Linked DNA regions of Schizosaccharomyces pombe. The gene in region 4 interacts genetically with the main gene of each other region. Each region holds a gene or a part of one and is shown on either strand. Other genes may lie near its edges. The genes, in order: cbp8, def1, are2 and cce1.

What was found.
Region 1: mutations in cce1 (region 4) and cbp8 together harm fitness more than expected from each alone (negative genetic interaction), as found in Schizosaccharomyces pombe (one large-scale study listed by BioGRID).
Region 2: mutations in cce1 (region 4) and def1 together harm fitness less than expected from each alone (positive genetic interaction), as found in Schizosaccharomyces pombe (one large-scale study listed by BioGRID).
Region 3: mutations in cce1 (region 4) and are2 together harm fitness more than expected from each alone (negative genetic interaction), as found in Schizosaccharomyces pombe (one large-scale study listed by BioGRID).

Annotation. Positions count from the first base shown.
Region 1 is NC_003424.3:2,385,929-2,390,435, reverse strand, and holds cbp8 (protein Cbp8), read right to left. Parts: upstream 2,901-4,507; 5' UTR 2,704-2,900; coding exon 763-2,703; 3' UTR 527-762; downstream 1-526. Other genes in the region: alp21 (tubulin-specific chaperone cofactor E), read right to left, coding at 1-157, 196-350; SPOM_SPAC22H10.08 (uncharacterized protein), read right to left, coding at 2,995-3,114, 3,171-4,507. UniProt on the Schizosaccharomyces pombe protein: Translation factor for cob1/cytochrome b; plays a role in cob1 mRNA stabilization and required for correct folding of the protein.
Region 2 is NC_003423.3:568,946-574,853, reverse strand, and holds def1 (RNAPII degradation factor Def1), read right to left. Parts: upstream 3,917-5,908; 5' UTR 3,794-3,916; coding exon 902-3,793; 3' UTR 534-901; downstream 1-533.
Region 3 is NC_003421.2:2,397,838-2,402,627, forward strand, and holds are2 (acyl-coA-sterol acyltransferase Are2), read right to left. Parts: upstream 2,982-4,790; 5' UTR 2,537-2,981; coding exon 1,118-2,536; 3' UTR 502-1,117; downstream 1-501. Other genes in the region: protein Pal1, read right to left, coding at 147-311; AP-1 adaptor complex gamma subunit Apl4, read left to right, coding at 4,230-4,790. UniProt on the Schizosaccharomyces pombe protein: Sterol O-acyltransferase that catalyzes the formation of stery esters.
Region 4 is NC_003424.3:4,296,399-4,299,445, forward strand, and holds cce1 (cruciform cutting endonuclease Cce1), read right to left. Parts: upstream 1,508-3,047; coding exon 731-1,507; 3' UTR 538-730; downstream 1-537. UniProt on the Schizosaccharomyces pombe protein: Capable of resolving Holliday junctions. Specific for 4-way junctions. Seems to be important for the maintenance of mitochondrial DNA. Cleaves fixed junctions at the point of strand exchange. Cleaves after 5'-CT-3' and 5'-TT-3' sequences.

The DNA.
Region 1 (4,507 bases), 1.9 Mb from region 4:
GAAACCACAGAATTCTACCTGTTTTCCACTTTTAAATTCAACAGAGGAAGGTAGGGGACTTGAATATGAATATTTTTCGTAAAGTGCTTCCAAAAATGTTCTGCATGGATCAAAAGGGAATCCTTTGTCTACAAATATTTTTCCTTCTTTTACAATTCTAATAGTTTAGTTTCTTGTCGTCAATAACAATCTTACAATGGTTTTTTGTTTCTCCAACACGTTTTAACAAACTGTTTTGCATTTACGTTTTTATCAAGTATGACTTGGTATCGATCATTGTTTCCTTCGATGGTTAATGTTACTAAAGTATTAGATATAGAAGCCCTAACCATTCCAGTGGATATATGCATTATTAATCAACGTGGGAAAGAAAATGGATTGCTATAAAAATTTGGGCAGTTTAAGTTTTTTGTTTCTTTCAAATTTTGTCTTTTATCTACAACAAAAAGTTTTAACCGCACTTTTTCTTTGCGACATAGAAGTGTTCAGTACGTAGTGATAATATAGATGGCATCAGATTTGTTAGGAAAATAGTTGGAAATACTGCTTATTATTATACGGGTTTTGATTCTAATGTCGATCTCATTTTTAAATGTGCTGCTTTATTAAGTCTCTCAATGTTAATGTAAATAATCTATTGTTGGCTGCATACCTCGTAAAGTACAACTTGATACCAATGAATATATTAATTATCAAACAATGCGTTTAAATGTATCAAGCACCAAGCACGATGTAGATTGGAAGCAGCACTATCGAGAATTATCACTTTTTTAAATGAACTGTACATAAAGGAAATGTTGCTTTTTGGGGGCGAGAACTCCATCCTGGGAGAATTCGCAATTGTTGATCTGCAACCCATTTGAGACTTCTAAAATTTACCTCGTGAATGGCAAAAAATTCGATCTCTCGGAGAACTTTGTCATTTGATAACAAAGGAAAAGAAATTATCTTTAAAAAACGAATTGCGAATTCAGTTCCCATTTTTTTGCTCAATATCGAAATCAGAGTTCTGGTCCAGTCGCTGCTATTACGGAAACAATCAACAATGTAATCAAACTGAAGCCCAGATAACCGTATATACTTTAAAGCATAACTTAATTTATTTTTTTTTAAACAATAACAAAAAAATCTGGGCAGGTTTTTTGGCATTATTTCGATTCCTCGTTTTCTGTAAAAGTCTTTTACTTCGAAGGAATTCACACCTTGTAGTAATAATAAATTAATCTTATAACGACTAACTTCGTTTAAATTTTTCTTTTTGTTTATATAATAAATACAGGCATTCAAAAAACCTTGATTCTCTTGCATTTCACCAAACATCTTCAAAAGAGAGAAAATAAAATTTTCCGGAATTTGGCCTTTATGCTCTTCCCAATTTTGATTTATTTCTTGAAAAATTAAACGATCTTTAAAGACGACAACGTAATTAGCGAGTACATTTAGCAGGCTATAGCAATTTAACAAAAAAAGCTGACGAATAGGTAAAACATGCTCCAGTAGTTTTTTGCAATCTTCTTTCTTTCTTAATAAAATAAAACGAGAAAGAAAAATTGCTTGTACGTCAGCCAAATCAGATAAATTGTAGTGATCTCGTATAATATGTAAATATGCGGAATAGACCTCCATAGAGCCTTCTACTATATTGGAAAAATTTTTGAAAAAAGAAACAAAAAACTCAATTTTTACCGGCCATCCCTTATTAAATGAGTGAATGAGCCACATTTTAAGAGAGCAGCTATTTTTAGCCGAAAGGAGAGATATAAAGACTTTATCCAGAAACTGTTCAGATGGAGTTATCCTTTCATTATCAATATGCTCCATAAGCTGAAAAAACGCACGTAAACGTAAAAAAATTTCAGCCTTCTCCATCTTCGAAAAAGCAATAGACGGTGGTAGCATAGAATTAGCTAACATGCAATGGCTCGAATTTCCATGGAAAAGACTGTAATCTCTAATGAGAAGCAAGAAAAGTGTGCGGAAATCATTAAAAGTTTTTGAATTAAGTGAAGAGCGAATATTAGCGCTTTTCAGCAGTTTTTCAACTTTGTGGTACGGTCCATCTTTTCGAAAATATATAGAAGAGAATGAACTGTCATATTTAAACAGATCAATTGTTTGCAAAATTATTTTTAAAGAAGATTTTAAGTCAGTTCTACTCAAATTTACAGTAGATACGCAAATATTCAAGGCAGCTGAAATAATGCTCTCCAGAATTCGCTTTTGCCTTTGCAAATCCGGATCTAAACGAAGCACATTATATACGAAATTTACCAGTACCTTTTTTTCGTCAGAATATTGTGAGAAAAGCAATTTTGAAAAACCATTATCTTTCGGATTTGAATAATTCGTAAACATTAGCAACTGATAATACAAGTTACTATTAACCTCAAAAACTGGGTAAAACGGATGCAGAGCTTTCAGACATTTGTTATATATTTCTGATAACTCACGTTGATATAGCAGGTCATCATCATTATAGTTTTCATAATCTCTCCAGGCCAAGGTAGAGTCTTCAGAATACTTTCTTATTAAAGATTTGAATTGTAAACTTTTTTTTGCAGAGAAAAACCGTCTGCTTAATGAAGTATTGTCTTCAAAGTACGCTTTGCAAGTGCAAAAAGAAATGTATAAGGGTTTCGACTTGACAAGAAAAGCACTTGTATTTGACAAGTTTTTTGACACTTTGCTAAGGGTTTTCAACATAAACGCATCCTAGGTTTAATCCTTTATCAAATTAATCTCCAAAGTATTCTAAGTATAAACCGATCAAAGTATCTCTAAATACAACCAACTTCAATAAAATAAAGTAAATAAAGGTTTTTGGTACGTGTATTTATGTCAATCTTTTGAACAATTTACGCGAAACGTAATAAGATTTCCTGATGTTGGCAGTTGTTGGTGGGAGCCTATTACACGTCGAGAATTTATATACATTTTTGCAATAATAAAATAACTGATGCTTAAAAGATTGTATTTTAATCCATTACTAAATAATTACTCACCATTGAAGCTAAGAAATCCGGACATGAGAAGTACACGATAGTAATCTTTTGTGTGTATGTTGTTTGCCCAATTCCAGGCACTAGTCAAACGTCCATCAATACAACTGCCAGCCTAGAGCTAGTTAGTAATTAAACAGATATATATATAGATAGATAATTTTAACTTACATCAAACCAATTGTCTGCACCAGATCCATCAAATCCGAATCTCATAAAATCGGTTAAAATAGTCTTTTTTAAATATTCTCTGCCTCCAAAAGCTGTATCAATGTAGTTAAGAAGAGAATGGTCATTTAAAGAATCTAACTCCTTGAACAATAGAACCAAGGGTGTTAAAATCCTTGGCACTTGCATATACTTGTCTATAAACAATAAGGCATTTGGAACAGCGGTATCTCCGAGATGGATTGTTGAACTTCCTATCCATGTTTCAGACTGTTCTTGAGCCGTCCGCAAAATCCTTTCCATCGCAATTCTAATGTTGGGACAAGGCTGCATTCTGTGTATTCCTTGATTGTTATCAATTAGCTTATACTCCATATCTGGGTTAGTTAACTCCAGATCACTAAGAGCCCATAATGAAAATATTTCTCCCATAATTAAAAGCCAAAGATGCAAACTTTGCACAACATAATGGTACTGTTTGTAATGACTATGCTTTAGTCTTGAGCCATTAATGGCATCAATAGCAAGAGTAAACTCATCGTCCACGGTATCTGGAGAAAAATATGCTTCTACCAAGCCTATGAGTTTGGCAATTGGATCACGATTATATCTCAAGTAACTGTTACTATCAGCAATAGAGTAGAGACACCATCGTACTTTCTCTTTTGTAATTTTGCTGCTGTAATACTTTTTTGCAATATGTTCAACAGCTCTTTCTTTCGCTTTAATATCTTTTTGAATCGCTGAGCGTGATCTATTTTCAGCGACTATTTCCATAGTAGCAATTTCGGCATAAGGATCTTCTAATGCGTTCAAAGCATCCCTTTCATTCAAAAATTCATAGACAGTCAAAATGGGTTTAAAGAGGTTAAATCCAAGTGCGTCTTGAATTTCTGGTCGCATAGAATCTTGCACAAAGTACATCAATTTCCCATAAGTAGACCCCAGTCGGTTGGGATTTAGCACTTTATAACGTCGACCTATTTCAAAAATCTTTTTAAAAAATTCGGCATGTTGTTCAAAATTTTTATGCTCAAGCAATTCTTGTCCAACTTTATAATCATAAGCAACCATGATACCCGACAAAACTGCAGTAATTCCTTTCAATTGCTGAGCCAGTCTTTTCGCTGGCGACGAAAAGCTTAGGGTATCAACGCTGTCGGTATAATCACTCACATCCAATGCAGCAGTAAGTAAATGAAGAAGCTTTCTTTCTTCATATTCAAGTCTCAAAGGAATCACTTTGGCCCTTTGCAACAACACAGGAGAAGAAAATTTCTTTTCAGGTGATTCATTACCCGTTTTAGATTCATTGGGGAGAATGGATGACAAATACAAAT
Region 2 (5,908 bases), on a different chromosome or scaffold from region 4:
GAACTTTTTCTACGTTTGTGTATGACACTGTCTCTTCTTCAACTACATCTACATGAACGAATCTTGCCAGTAGTGAAGGTTAGACATTCTATTTTTTCATGAGAATTTTACAACAGCGACATGCTGTTTTGCTAAATTTGGATGTTTCAATTTGCTATATTTCTAGAATCAATAATACGTATTATACAAATTTGCTCTTCATTTCAATGTAAATAAAAGTATCAAGTTTTTCTATTCAGTAGACTTAGCGTATAGGGTTGACGTAGTGTTGTTGACTGAAGTGTGGCATATATTACTAGCGAAGCTTTTTTTTTTTTACACTTTGCTTTAGCGAATTCGCTTAACATTTGCCGTCAAAAATTGTTTAAAATAGGAATGCCGAGTGAACCACCCCCCTAAATTGCCAACTGATTAAACGTGTTTCATTAGCACTTGACTTTTGGAAATATAATAATCATTACTTGAAACTAGTTATCCCACTTCGCATTGCTTACCCACACCTACAAATACCTTAACATCAAATCTTTATTTACCCTTTCCCTCTTCCAAAACGCCAGTTTGTTTTAATAATGCAATAAAAAAATACTCTATGAACATACAAGGAATTACCATATAATGGCAACATTACGGCGTGGTATGATATGTTATGATATGAACAAGCAACATTTCAAACTACATAATTAAGCACTATCAAACAGAAAACACATGTGACCACATAGCCATATAAATCACACACATATATATATTGAAAAACTTCATAAATTCGATTGTCCCAATAAAATCGATTTTACCCTTCCATTAATAGCATCTTGTCCGCAATTATTTTTAGCCTATTTTTGAATCCTTATAAAAAGCATTTTCCAACTTCTACGTTATCAAACTTTTTGATCATAAGTTCAATTTAAGCATTACCGTACCAACCTCCTGGTCGGTTTATAAATGACTGGTTGTATGCATTATAGCCTCCTAATCCATTACTACCTGCATTGGTAGATGCTCCAGAGTTGAACGGAAACCCAGCGGGTTGGCTGTTTGCATTGTTGACCTTGTTAGCATTGCTTTGAAAAGAGGTTGTCTGCTGAGTAGCAGCATTGGTCAATGGCGTTTGTTGAGGAGGTAAGCCATAAGGAGAGGCCGCATTGGCACTAAGGTTTTCAAAACTTCCAACATTACCCATAAACATACCAGGAGCCGCACGTCCCATCCCTGACATGGAAGACAAACCACCCAAAGTACTTGACATGCTGTTCGCCCCGGTTACGCCTCCATTTCCAATCACAGAGTCACGATGTCCAGCCGCTTTCTCAGTCATGCCGCTAGTATTTGCAGTGGCATTATTAATTGGGTTGCTAGTTTGTGTTCCACTCATACCACTTACATTGCCAGGCTGTTGTCTGTTGTACACGTTGCTGTGTCCACCAAAGATGGGAGGGAAATCATTAAAGCCGCTCTGAGACATGTATCCTTGCTGGGGCTGTCCAAACTTGTTATTATTGTAAGGCATCGTACCGTATCCATAAGACACATAAGGAATAGGATACATTGGAGGAAATGCATAAGGTTGGGGCTGTTGTTGAGAAACAACAGGGCTAGGAGTCGCTGTTCCAGCAGCAGGTAGAGAAGTAGCATTAGAAGATGCAACCTTGTTATGCATTACCGAGTGCACATCTGGTGTATTCGACGCACTACCAGCGACATTATCATATTGTGAGTATTGATTACGCTCATTATAGTAATGAGCTGCTGGTGCAGCTTGACCATATTCAATAGGAGACATAGTAGTGTATGCTGGATGACTAGTCTGTTGATATTGTTGAGAAGTATTTGAAGCATATCCCAATTCAGTACTATGGTCGATGTGTTGAAAATTGTCGAATGGGCTATTGGCGGAGCGGTTTTCCACAGGATTCATAAATCTAGAAGAATATGGAAGTGCAGTTGTCTCCCCAGCATTTGAAGATGCAGTTTCGTTGTTAAAAGCAGCTCCGGTAGACGGAGGAATAAGACTAGCACCAGCATATGGTTGAGGGGAAATTCCATGTGTAGCAGGAGAATAAATACCGCCATATCCGGCACTTTGTTTACCAACCACCGGGCCACTTGTAGCACTTGTGGATGCAGCGGGTATAGTCGTTTGGGCTGATACTTGAGGAGGGATGGCCGAGACAGAAGAGGCGTTTCCACTGGCCGGTAAATTTACATCGTGTAAACCACGATATGGTGTCTCGTTAACATGAGATTCCTTCAAGTTTTCGGGAACCTTCGATTGTGGAGCACGGCTTTCATATGCTGAAGTGTGTTGTTTCTTTGGGATTTTGGTGGATTCAGCAACTTTGCTCGCCTCTTTTTTTGCCTCTGGCTTTGGTGAAACTGTCTTTTTAGGAAAATAGGAACTTCTTGGTCCAGACTGTGCTATGTTGTCTGAAGAAGACTTTGTCGATTTTTTGTCCTCACCCCCAAGTGTCAAGCTTCCGAAACGCACTTGAACCTTTTCGGGAATAGCAGCAGTATTAGCAACAGGCATAACGACGGGGAATCTATCAGAAAGTAATCGAGCAGTAGTCATACTAGTTGTAGAGCTTTGAGAGCCAACAGCGGCTTGCTTCGCAAAGGAGGGCTTAGGTAGGGAAGCAGAAGAGATGTTGGAAAGCCCAGGAGCGGGCTTGACTGCATTTATGGCAAATGGGGCAGTACTCTTTTTGGGAGCTGAGGTAGCTGTGGAGGGGGTCGTTTCAACATTTGCGGGAGTTGCAGAGTCCTGGGATTTGTGAGGGAAAGGAACAGATGAGGATGACAGTTCAGCAGGTTTTTCGTAAGCAGCGGAAACATTAGTTTTAGAGGGTTGAGAAGGAGCGATAGAGGGTTTAGAAGGTTCGGATTCGGGAGCGGGAGCGGGAGCGGGAGTGACCTTTTTCTTCGACTTTGCAACTGAAGCCCAAGCCTTCTTTATAGGCTTTGAAGATGCAACAGCCTGATCAGCCGCACTGGTCGACTTTGCTGAGGCCGAAGTACCGCCTGCGGTGCCGTTCGTATTTGTTGAAGCAGCGGTATTAGCCGATGTTAAAACTGAAGCTTGTTCATTAGATGTAGTATGATCTTTCATTGAGGAATCTTCATTAATAGTACCAGGATCAACGGAAGAAGACACTGTCGTTGATGCAGGAGCTTTGGTAGAAATTTCTGAGGAAGGAAGATCGCCAGTACCAGCAGGCTTTTCTAAAGAGGATGGTGCATGAACGGAAGAAGGATCTGAGGGAGCTCCTGCTTTTGATTTTCGAACCCCCCGAGAAGTATCCTTAGAAGCGGAAGGTTTCTTTGATTTACGTGTAGCATTACGAAAGGTGGAAGAGACATTATCGGAAACTGGAGCATGACTTGTTGGTTTGGACTTTGTTTTAGGGATTGGCTTCTTTTTAACTTCACCCCATTTGGAGGCGTGACCTTCAGTAATATGCAATATGGTCAGTTCCAAATCCCGGTCCGCTTCTTCTAAAGCAAAACTTAAATCATCAATCGTCCAGCTAGGAAACAGCTCTTGCAATACGCTTAACTGCGAATCACGATCAAATTCGAGCTCAAGCGCATTTGATCCCTCTATATTACTAGTCTGAGACGAATTTGCCGGGCCAGATTTTCCTTTGGTGCCTCGCCTTCCCTTCGCTCCTCTCTTGGCGGAAGAGGATGAAGTTTTATTATCTTGCGATATATTTAACGCTGTATCTGTGTGTTGCTTTTCTGAAACTTGTTCGGTATTTCCGACCTTCTTTGGCCGAAACTTTTTATTCTCACTCATTTTTGATTCTACTTTTCTTTACAAAAATTAATACAGGTCTTGAAAATCGACAAGGCACGTGTATTCGTGCTTCAAGACGATATGCAAGATTTTTCGTGTTATTTAAGGGTAGTGGTTCTGGCTGCGTTTTGGTGTCGTGCAGCATAGTGCTTTTGCTTAAATGGAAATTGCCTATACCAGAGCAAGGTGGTAGTGAATGCGCTAAAGTGCAAACTATAGCTTTCCTTGAAATTTTTATACATAGAAAAACTTATAACGTTATAAAGAACAATGTTATTGTTTAAATTTTACTTTACTTTTTCTTCATTTTTGCGATTACCTTTTCTAAAAGCTTGATTTATATAGTAGTGGAGTGCAGTTTACTATTGTATTTAACGATTTACCGTTGTGTATCTTTATTGCTCTTAAGACAATAGCTAGTTAGCTGCTTGCCTGAATACATGAAAATATGATGAAAGTAGAGCTCATTGTATTAACTTTTCTATTGCCCAATTTCTTCGATACTGTTAAAAGATGTGCAATTCGTTTAGCTAAATTCAAGTTGACTAAACACCTTTCGTTCCATGCTTTGCTATTACAGATTCCTAACACGTTGGTATGTTTAGAAATTTGCAATGCAATATCGGGTATTCAGTTGGTCAATTTATGAAAACTTTAATTACTGCTTCAAGTAATAATCCATCCGTTCTAATTACGCGGCTTCAGTAACATTCGAAGCTCTTCATTCACTTTGTTGGGTTCAAGTGAACCACACTTATAAACGTGATGCCCTTTATCTAAAAAAATAAATATGAAGCCTGCTAATATTAAATTAACAATAAAAACAAGAAACATTGCTTTGGCCGGGAATCGAACCCGGGTCGAATCGATGGCAACGATTCATTATACCACTAAACCACCAAAGCTTGTTAGAATGCTCTATTAAAAAGCATATATCTATTTAATTGTAGAGTTATAAAAACATAGAATATTGATAAAATAACATTATAATTTATTCAAAAAAACTAAATTGTACAGCTGAATAATCGCCTAGTTATATTAAGATAAATTCTAAAAGCATTATTATCAAAGTTTCTGTCAATGCTTATAACTAATGTGTCAAATGGTTTGATGAAGCGTTCGCATTATTTTACTATTTCATCTTTAATTTTGTCATTTTTTACAAATTTTCGTTGTTTTTTAAAAAAAATTGCTGTGAACTTTAGTAGTATCATCTCGCAATTTATATTGATTTTTCTTCTTTTTATTTTTATTTTATTTTTTTATTCAATTGTTAGTAACCAAAATTAAGTCACCATTTTTGGCAATTCAAATGACTAACTAATTATAAAATAATAAAATCAAACGTGCTAAGATTCTATGTTTAAATTGCTAAAGTCAATACTCTCTTCTTGTGAAGAGTCCATTTTCAAAACGACAACATAACAGAAAACTGTAAAGAGTAATGAAAAGAAACCCACATTTCAAGGAATAGCATATCTATCTATTGTTGCACTATAATTTTTTAACAAAAGCGGCACATTAGAAACCATTTTCTCAAATAAAAAATTGATTTTACATTGAAAACTGTCAACGATGAACAATAAACAGTGCATTCGTATGACAACAAGATATGGACAAGTTAATTCGTACGCTAGAATTGTTCTCAAATGTTTACAGATAGGTTTGATATATTTCAAAATCTTTATTTGTCACTATTTTTTACAGTATCATCAACAAAGCAGCATAAAAAATTCAGTGAAGCCGTTAACATTGTAAGAATAAAATAATATTCCGAAAAAAAAAGAAAGGAGCCTACAGCACCCCGGATTCCCATGTTGTCTCCAACCATAGTACTAACGAGGCCCTCAGACGCTTAACTGCAGTGATCGGACGGGAACTGGTGTTTTCGCCTAGGTGTGGCCGTAGACAGTTACTAAGCATATTTAATAAATTTATACACATACCTAAAGCTGCGAACAAGTATTAATCAGGTTTTGAAATAAATGTAATTTATATTCCTTCATGTGAAGCTAATAAAATAAATTGATAATAAAGATATCTTACTTTAAGTTCTCATATGTGTTTAAACTGAGTATTTACAATCCAGCATATTTTGTGTTGTTTGAGAATATG
Region 3 (4,790 bases), on a different chromosome or scaffold from region 4:
AATGTACGTTATGAGCGCTTTAAATTAGAAACTTAAAAACTCTTAATAGAACACTAATTTGGAAAGGTTTCAATAAATTTAACAAATCTTCACGTAACGAAGCAATGACCGAATTATATCTACTTCAGCCTCAAAAATTTACATACCAAGTCATCTGCCATAGATTCCATGACCGGATCAGCCACACGCTCTGTCTTGGGAGCTAAAAAAGGATTGTTACTGTTGTGCAGGGAAGACGTGTACACGCCATCCTCTTGAGGTGTCTGACTGCTTGTAGCAGTACTTAAAAAAGGGTTCTCTATTACCATCATCCCGTATTGCACCCAAACGATACCCTTGCGATTTCGTTTTGAGAAAGAGCACCTTGAAATACACAAGAGGTTTTTCCGAATCAAACTTCGAACTACAAGATATGGGTTCTTGGTGAGTTGGGATTCCAGTGGTAAAAATATCTACCCCTGCTTATAGGCAATTTACTGTACAGTGCTATTGCACATTGGGTTGCGTTATCTAGGTTTCTTGCTATAATAATTTTATTGTGCAAGACAGAAAAGTACATTTATTAAGAATGGGAAAACTGAATAAATCGAATATCCTAACCACTGACGATTAGACACATTAATTCGATTAATAACAGTGATGGTTATGTTAATGAAAATACGAGATGAGGAAACTTATTAATCAAAGCAATCATCTGGCTAAAAATTAAACGAACATCTGTGAATGTTAAAAATCTTAAGTAAACAACAAATCGGTTAACATAATTTTCAACGAAAAAAATGTTTTAAACCCATTTCTTTAATTCGTTAATTTAATCAGGATTCCATTTTATCATAAACAAGCAAATGAACCGACACAAAATGAAACGGAAGTTCCACAGAGGCACAAAAACTAAGTTTTACCAAAATTACTCTGCAGCCTTTTGACGTGTTCAAATAGAAATGGCATTTCCTACTTGCATTACAAAACAATTCATAAAATGTCATAAAGGAGCCCTTATTGGGCAGATGAAATGAGCCACAAAAAGTGTCAAAGATAGAAATAGTCACTAGAAAAAATAACGCATTGTAAAAAAAATCTAAGAGGTAATTATTCATAATGGAGACCCCTATCGCTTCTAAAATAAGATATAAAGAGCTGCAATAAGAGCGATACCAATTATGATAGAAAACCAAAACGCAATATTTCCCAGCAGTCTATGTCTTCGAACAAACTTCTGTCGCTGAATAATGATATACGGGATTTGAGTCATTTGAAAAAACAAACCGTAACCGCGGATTTTTAAAGTGATACATCCCATAACAAGTTCATGTAATACAGAGGAGACAAAGAACGTGAAAAAAGTCGATAAAGACTTTGACATGAAAGAGTTGAGGGGAACATAAACGTGGCGAAGGAGAAAGTAATGAACGGGCTTATTCCAGGTTCGGGCAAATTGATCCCAAGTCCAGCAATTCCACCAATCATCATAAAAGTTTCTATCGGCAAATCTAGTAATCTCTGCGCTGAAATTACAAACTCCTTCAAAAATGACCCAGAACACGAGGAGGAAGCTAAGCATAAATGGGAACATCAAAAATGCTACAGTATGGCCTAAACGTATAGCAAAATAAGTAGCAGATGCGTCTTCAGGAGCTTCAATAATGGTTCGAATGGCTTTAGCAAGTACAGGAACCATGAAATGATCAGAAATAATGACCAAAAGAAAGATACAACCAAACGTTCCCAAAGCGCATTCAATCAAATAATGAATTCGCACATGGGCGGTTCTTGGGTAGTATAATTGATAACATAAGCTGGGCATGAAAAGGAAATCCAAAGCATTTGGTATGGTTAAATTTTCCGGATAAGTATTACCATGATGGTTGAGACAATGTTCATAAAACTCAACTGAGGATCGTTCATCATCATCAAGATCGGTTTTTTTTGACTGAAGCTTATTTAACGAATGATAACAATAAGAATACCAACCGTTGACAACGTTATAGGAATGAAGCTTCATAAGGATTACCATAGAATGAAGAATAAACATAGCACGATGCGTCCAGGACCAGTTGCTAAGACAGCAGCGTAAAACACAATGGCTTAAAAAAAGTAAAATAAGAATGGAATAGAGGTAAACGCCTAAACCATACCACCGCAGATATCCCAAAGCAAAAATCTTTTGGAAAGGAAAAGCAAGTAGAAACATTGAAGACATAGCAAGGTCTGCCTTTGCCAGATCTAACAAATTAGACTGAAAGTATTTAAAAATAGTGCCAACAACTGGTCTTCCAGTCAATTCGAAATTTTCTAAAAAGCTCATGAAAATCATAATAGAGACAGCAACCCAAAATAACACAAAAAATCCAGTAAAGTCTACCGCATTACGTTGATAATTACGAGCAAAAATCGAGGGAGTAGGAGATAATTCCAGAGGTCGGTAAGCGGCCCTAGACCTTCGAAGGTCAATTTTTGAGGTTTCAGAAACACCTTTGAACGTCTGTTCCAAGTTGACATCCGATGGTTTGGATTTAGCGGGTGTTGCAGCAATCATCTTTAAATAACCAGCAATTAAAGCAACTAAGTGAATATATAACAAAAAAGATAAATATATAAAGAAAAAGATAAAACAAAAAAATAACGTAAAATCAGCAGCTACGTATCGCGAACAGTATCAAAGAAATTGAAAAAGAAGCGGATATGAACGTAGGAAGATTAAATTTATTTTTTGCTTCGCTTCTAAATAAAAAATTGAGGAATGAAAGCAAGAAACTTAGAAATGTAATCTATTGATGGAAGTTCCAACTTGGAATTTCAAGATGACAGAACTGGTATGACGAAAACTCCACAGTCGTGATTCCAAAAATAAAAATTCTATGCCAAATGTTCCACTATAGAATGGAAGTAAATAAAAAGCTCGAACTCCTAAGCAATTCACGTTCTATGCGATTTATGTAAGGAAAAGCCAAGTCTCCAGTTTCAAAATGAGCAAAGGAGTTGATAAGTTAGAATTGCGAGCTAAGACGATGAACCACCTGATCTCAGCAATATCTGCAATACTACACCACGTTATGTAAAATTTCGTTACGTATCACTATATATCACATGTCCTATTCATTTATCCGCTATATGTGATACGACATTGGCACTTGCTTATTGTAGCTTATTACCAAATGACTGACAGGTACAAACAAAAAAGAATGCTCAATCGAACCTTTTTCCCTTAGTTTACATATTATGAGCATTTCAATAATAATTTACAATAACACCTTAATACCCGATTTTCGCGTTACCTGCATATCGCAATATAGTAGTGCACAAATACAACTCACTGTGATTTAACGTGCCATTAAAACTGGTTACAAACTGCATAGTTAAGAAGCAAAGCCACATAGCGTGGTCAAGAACGAATAGAGAAACATAAATTCCAGATATTGCCCATCAATTAACAACTCCATATAGCAAATTCGATAGGATAATTCAAAAATTACACAGATAACCAAAGGAAGCTAGGTATTCTTTTAATTTGTGCAGTATTGGTGAATGCATCAGTTTTGAGCGTCGTTTAAAGCTGCATCCTATTTTGTTAAGTGAAATTGATTTGATTTTCATTGTTTTATATATTCTGTGTTTAGATTGCGTTTTTCTGTTTGCTTTCAATACATCTCATAGAAATGCAAGTTAATATTTACTGGAATCAATTATAGTAGGAACGTAAAATATCTCAGTGAATATTGGTACGGATGGAAAGATAACTTTAGTATTGCACATGGATTTTATTAAGAACCTCTAATAAGGGAATGTGTATTAAACGTAATATGATTACTGAAAAGCACAAAAACCATACCTAAAAAATATTCAACTCTTAGCCATAGTACACCTTCTTAAATGTACTTGCAATAAGTGGTAACATAATATTAAGTTAATCAATATAAATGGTATTTACATCTGCTTAATAAAAACTAGGAATTATAAAAAAAGACACTTCAGCTGACTTAACGTAACACAGCAGCAACAAAACAAATTAAAATTTATTTTATTTAAAGCATATTTTTTAGTATTCATTATTGATAGATTGACGAAAGAGTCGCAACGTTAAATTCGTTTTAAAGAAATTTACCGTGCAATACCCTACCGCATGTACAAGCAACAGCCAAGTAATGCAAACAACACATCCAAAGAACCTGCATCTTACTTGTTCGGGAGTGGAAAGAGGTTTCACCAATTCCCCAAAGACGCATCCAAAGATGTCAAGTTTAAAATCTTTTATAAAGGCTGTTCGGGCATCCAAAACGACTGCTGAGGAGCACACAACGATTCTCAAAGAGTCGGCTCAAATCAGAAAAAACATTCGTCAAGGTTCTAATGACATGCGTATGCGCAGAAAAAATGTTGCCAAGCTGCTATATTTATTTCTACTCGGTGAGCCGACACACTTTGGTCAGATTGAATGTTTAAAATTGTTGTCGAGTTCGCGATTCATGGATAAACGTTTGGGATACCTAGCAGCTATGCTTCTGTTAGACGAGAACCAGGAAGTTTTGACGTTATTGACAAATTCTCTTCAAAATGACTTGAAATCTAGAGACAAATTTATTGTGGGGTTGGCATTATCTGCGTTTGGTAATGTCGCTGGCCCTGAGCTTGCAAGGGATTTGTCAAACGACATAGCCGAACTTTGCTCTAACCATCATAATTATATATCAAAGAAGGCTGTTCTCTGTGCACTTAGAGTAATTCAAAAAGAACCGGATTTGGAAAGTTTATATATTGAGAAAACCGATGAATTGTTACATTCAAAAAGTCAT
Region 4 (3,047 bases):
TACTTTTCTTCCTTGTATAAACGGTCTATTGCTTATTATATTAAATTTTCCCTGAAAGCTATCATGTACCAATTTCCAAAAGGTGTGTGTGTTTTCCACGTGTTTATACTACTAATTTTTTCTCGTCTTTCTTTACTTTAGGGATTAAATCTTGTGTAAATGCGTGTTATCCAGGGTTTACTCTGTTGGGGAACTAAACAATCACGAGTTGCGTTTTTTTATGTTTTTTTTAAAGGATCTCAGACGCTATCATGGTCCTCTTATGACTTTTGTGGCTTCACTGCAAGTTCTACTTTTTTCTTTACGTCTTCAAAGCCGTTTCATACAAATTTATTATAAAAAATTTCATTTTTCGGTGCTGTTATTGGTGCTTTTGTATGCATGAAATATAGAGGATATAAACTTGGGTTTTTGAAATGAGCAAGGTCGGGTTGCTATTTTTAAGGCCTTATTACCTTTTTTTGTTTGTCATCATTCTTATTTTTTTTAAAAAATTCATTTCATGTTCTTTATGTTTTGTTATTTTTCATCGTTGAAGTTTAGAATAATGCTCAAAGAAGATCTTTGATACATGTGCCTGCATTCCTTTTGTTATCATTATTAATTTTATGAATTTAGTTTAATTTCTTCCTTTTTTATAGGATCATGAAATGCAATATACGATAGTTTTTCTTTGAATAAAACTACAATATACAAATTGGCTAAACATTCGTACGGCAATCGTTCATTTCTATTGTTTCAGAAACTGTTTGCAAAAGTTTCTATAATGCTTCAGTTGGGCTTGCCATCTCATCCAACCGCTTGCAATCAAAGCAGAATCTGCCATATCGTCCTTTTTAAATTCAACCCTAGAACCGTTGTTCCATTTATACAGAGCTTCTTCATTTTCAAATAGGATTTTTTGACCATCTATTAATTCCTTGACCATTTGTACTCTACTCTTCTTCTTTGAAAAAGATGCTTTCGTATTCAAAACTGATGCCCAATACGAGTATGTAGATTTTGGGGACAGAGAAAGAAGGAAAGGATATTGTATTTTCTGTTCGATTGAATTTCTTTTTTCTGCGTAGTGTAACGCATACAGCATGCTTTCAAGCATATTTACTCGTAGCGTCCACTCTGGAATCGTAGCAATACCGGAACGATAACGCTGGCGTTCCATAAGAATGACATGCGGATTGAATTTTTCGTGTAATGTATTAAACAGTTGTATTGAAAGATCAGCCATGGAGCTAGGCTGGAAGTCTTCGGTCCATTGTATATCAAGCCCATTTTTTTCAGTTAGATTTTCAACAGACCAATTGTGGATAATAACTTTAGAATCTTCATTTTGACTTGCAAAGCAGTAAGAGAAATTTTTGATTCCCAAGTCAATACCAAGTACCCGAGAGGTGGGATAAATAGGAGAGTCAACAATTCTTCGAAGCAACTCATCCTTTCTTCCACTTCTTGACAATCCAGTTAACTTACAGATGTGCTGTAAAAAACTAAGTTTCACAGTAGCCATTCTGTAAAAAAGAATAAATTGACATAAAGAAACGGATATGAAGTTGTAAACCTATAGCAATGATTATGTTTTTTTTTTTTGCAAAAACAAGGAAACGAGGCAGTAAGAATTGAGTTTATTCAAATAAGAAAAAATGATTATTTCTCTTAAAATGAATTGTTTTTAGAAGTGAACAGTTTTAGATGCTAGATGCAAACGTGAAAGATAGTATATGGTAATACAAAAAACGAAGGATTGGTAAATGGGAGTCCGGGAATTTTTATTTCACTTACGAGTAGAAACATGTAATTTTTTTTCTTTTATTCCATAAGCTTGCGATGTTTGAAGTCGTTGACAACGTCTTGCTTAGTTCAAACTGCTAGTCACCTGGGAATTATCTGAATAAATAAGCATTAAAATATGAACAAAGATTGGCGAGTCCAAGTTTATGTGAAATATCAACAACGATATACGTCGATTCATAGGAGGTTTGAACTCATCAACCTAAAGTTAGAAATACATGGCAAAAGAAATTTATCACAGATTGTTAATATGTTTGCAATCAGACATTGACTTAAATCAATTCTTAAGACTTGTTTGTAAGTGAGCAAGTTTATTATTGTTTTATGAATGATCGAGGTTGTGTAAAATGGCACAGTTTGTATTTGAAAGCTAATTTGGAATCCACAAAATTTAAGATATATAACAGAAAAGCTTTTATACAGCTGAAGTCTTCATTTAATACCCCGAATCCGTCATTGTCTTTTATTATAATACCGAGTTTCTATGCAAGTTAGGTAAAACTCCATATTTGAAGTCTTGGACATTGAAATACTTAAACTGTAACATTTGTTTTAAACTATTAGGATTAAATTTTCAAAGTTTTGATGGCACACATTGTACTATAGTTAGCAAGTATATAGAACGGCGATGGTTGACAAAAATGAACTACAAATGTAACCACGGAATGAACGTGAAGGTTTATCGGATTTTGATTTTAACGCTGTTTAATTTGTATTCAGCTACCTTTAACATTAATGATGAATTTCTGCTATTGGATTTCTAAAACTCCTCTGAAAGCATATAGCAGACAATGTCTTACGCAAATACAAAAAATGCTTTAAGGATTTCAAAGCGTTTTCCACTGATTTTTTTCTTATGCAAAAAGCAAATCTATTACTGACTTTAAGCTTGAACTTCAATCATTCTCATTTCTATTTCGTTTCCATATTCTATTATAGAGGATCTGTCAAGTAACATGTTTTGTATTTGATTCTTTTTTTACACAAGCAGCACTAGTATGAATAAGTTTTAAGAAGAATATGACTTTGTTCCGGAATATATTAACTGACTGAAAAGTAGAGAATATACTGTTTTTAGAAAAAAAAAATTGCGAATTGTCTGACGCACTATTGTTTCAATATATGAACCGTTGTTGGGGATGAAAAATGTTCAGTAAAAACCCCAAACTTAAAACTTATTGCGCATGTAGATCTAAAGTAGTTTATTCAATTAACTATTCGACTGACTATTACAACTGGGCCATTGATATATAAAATGA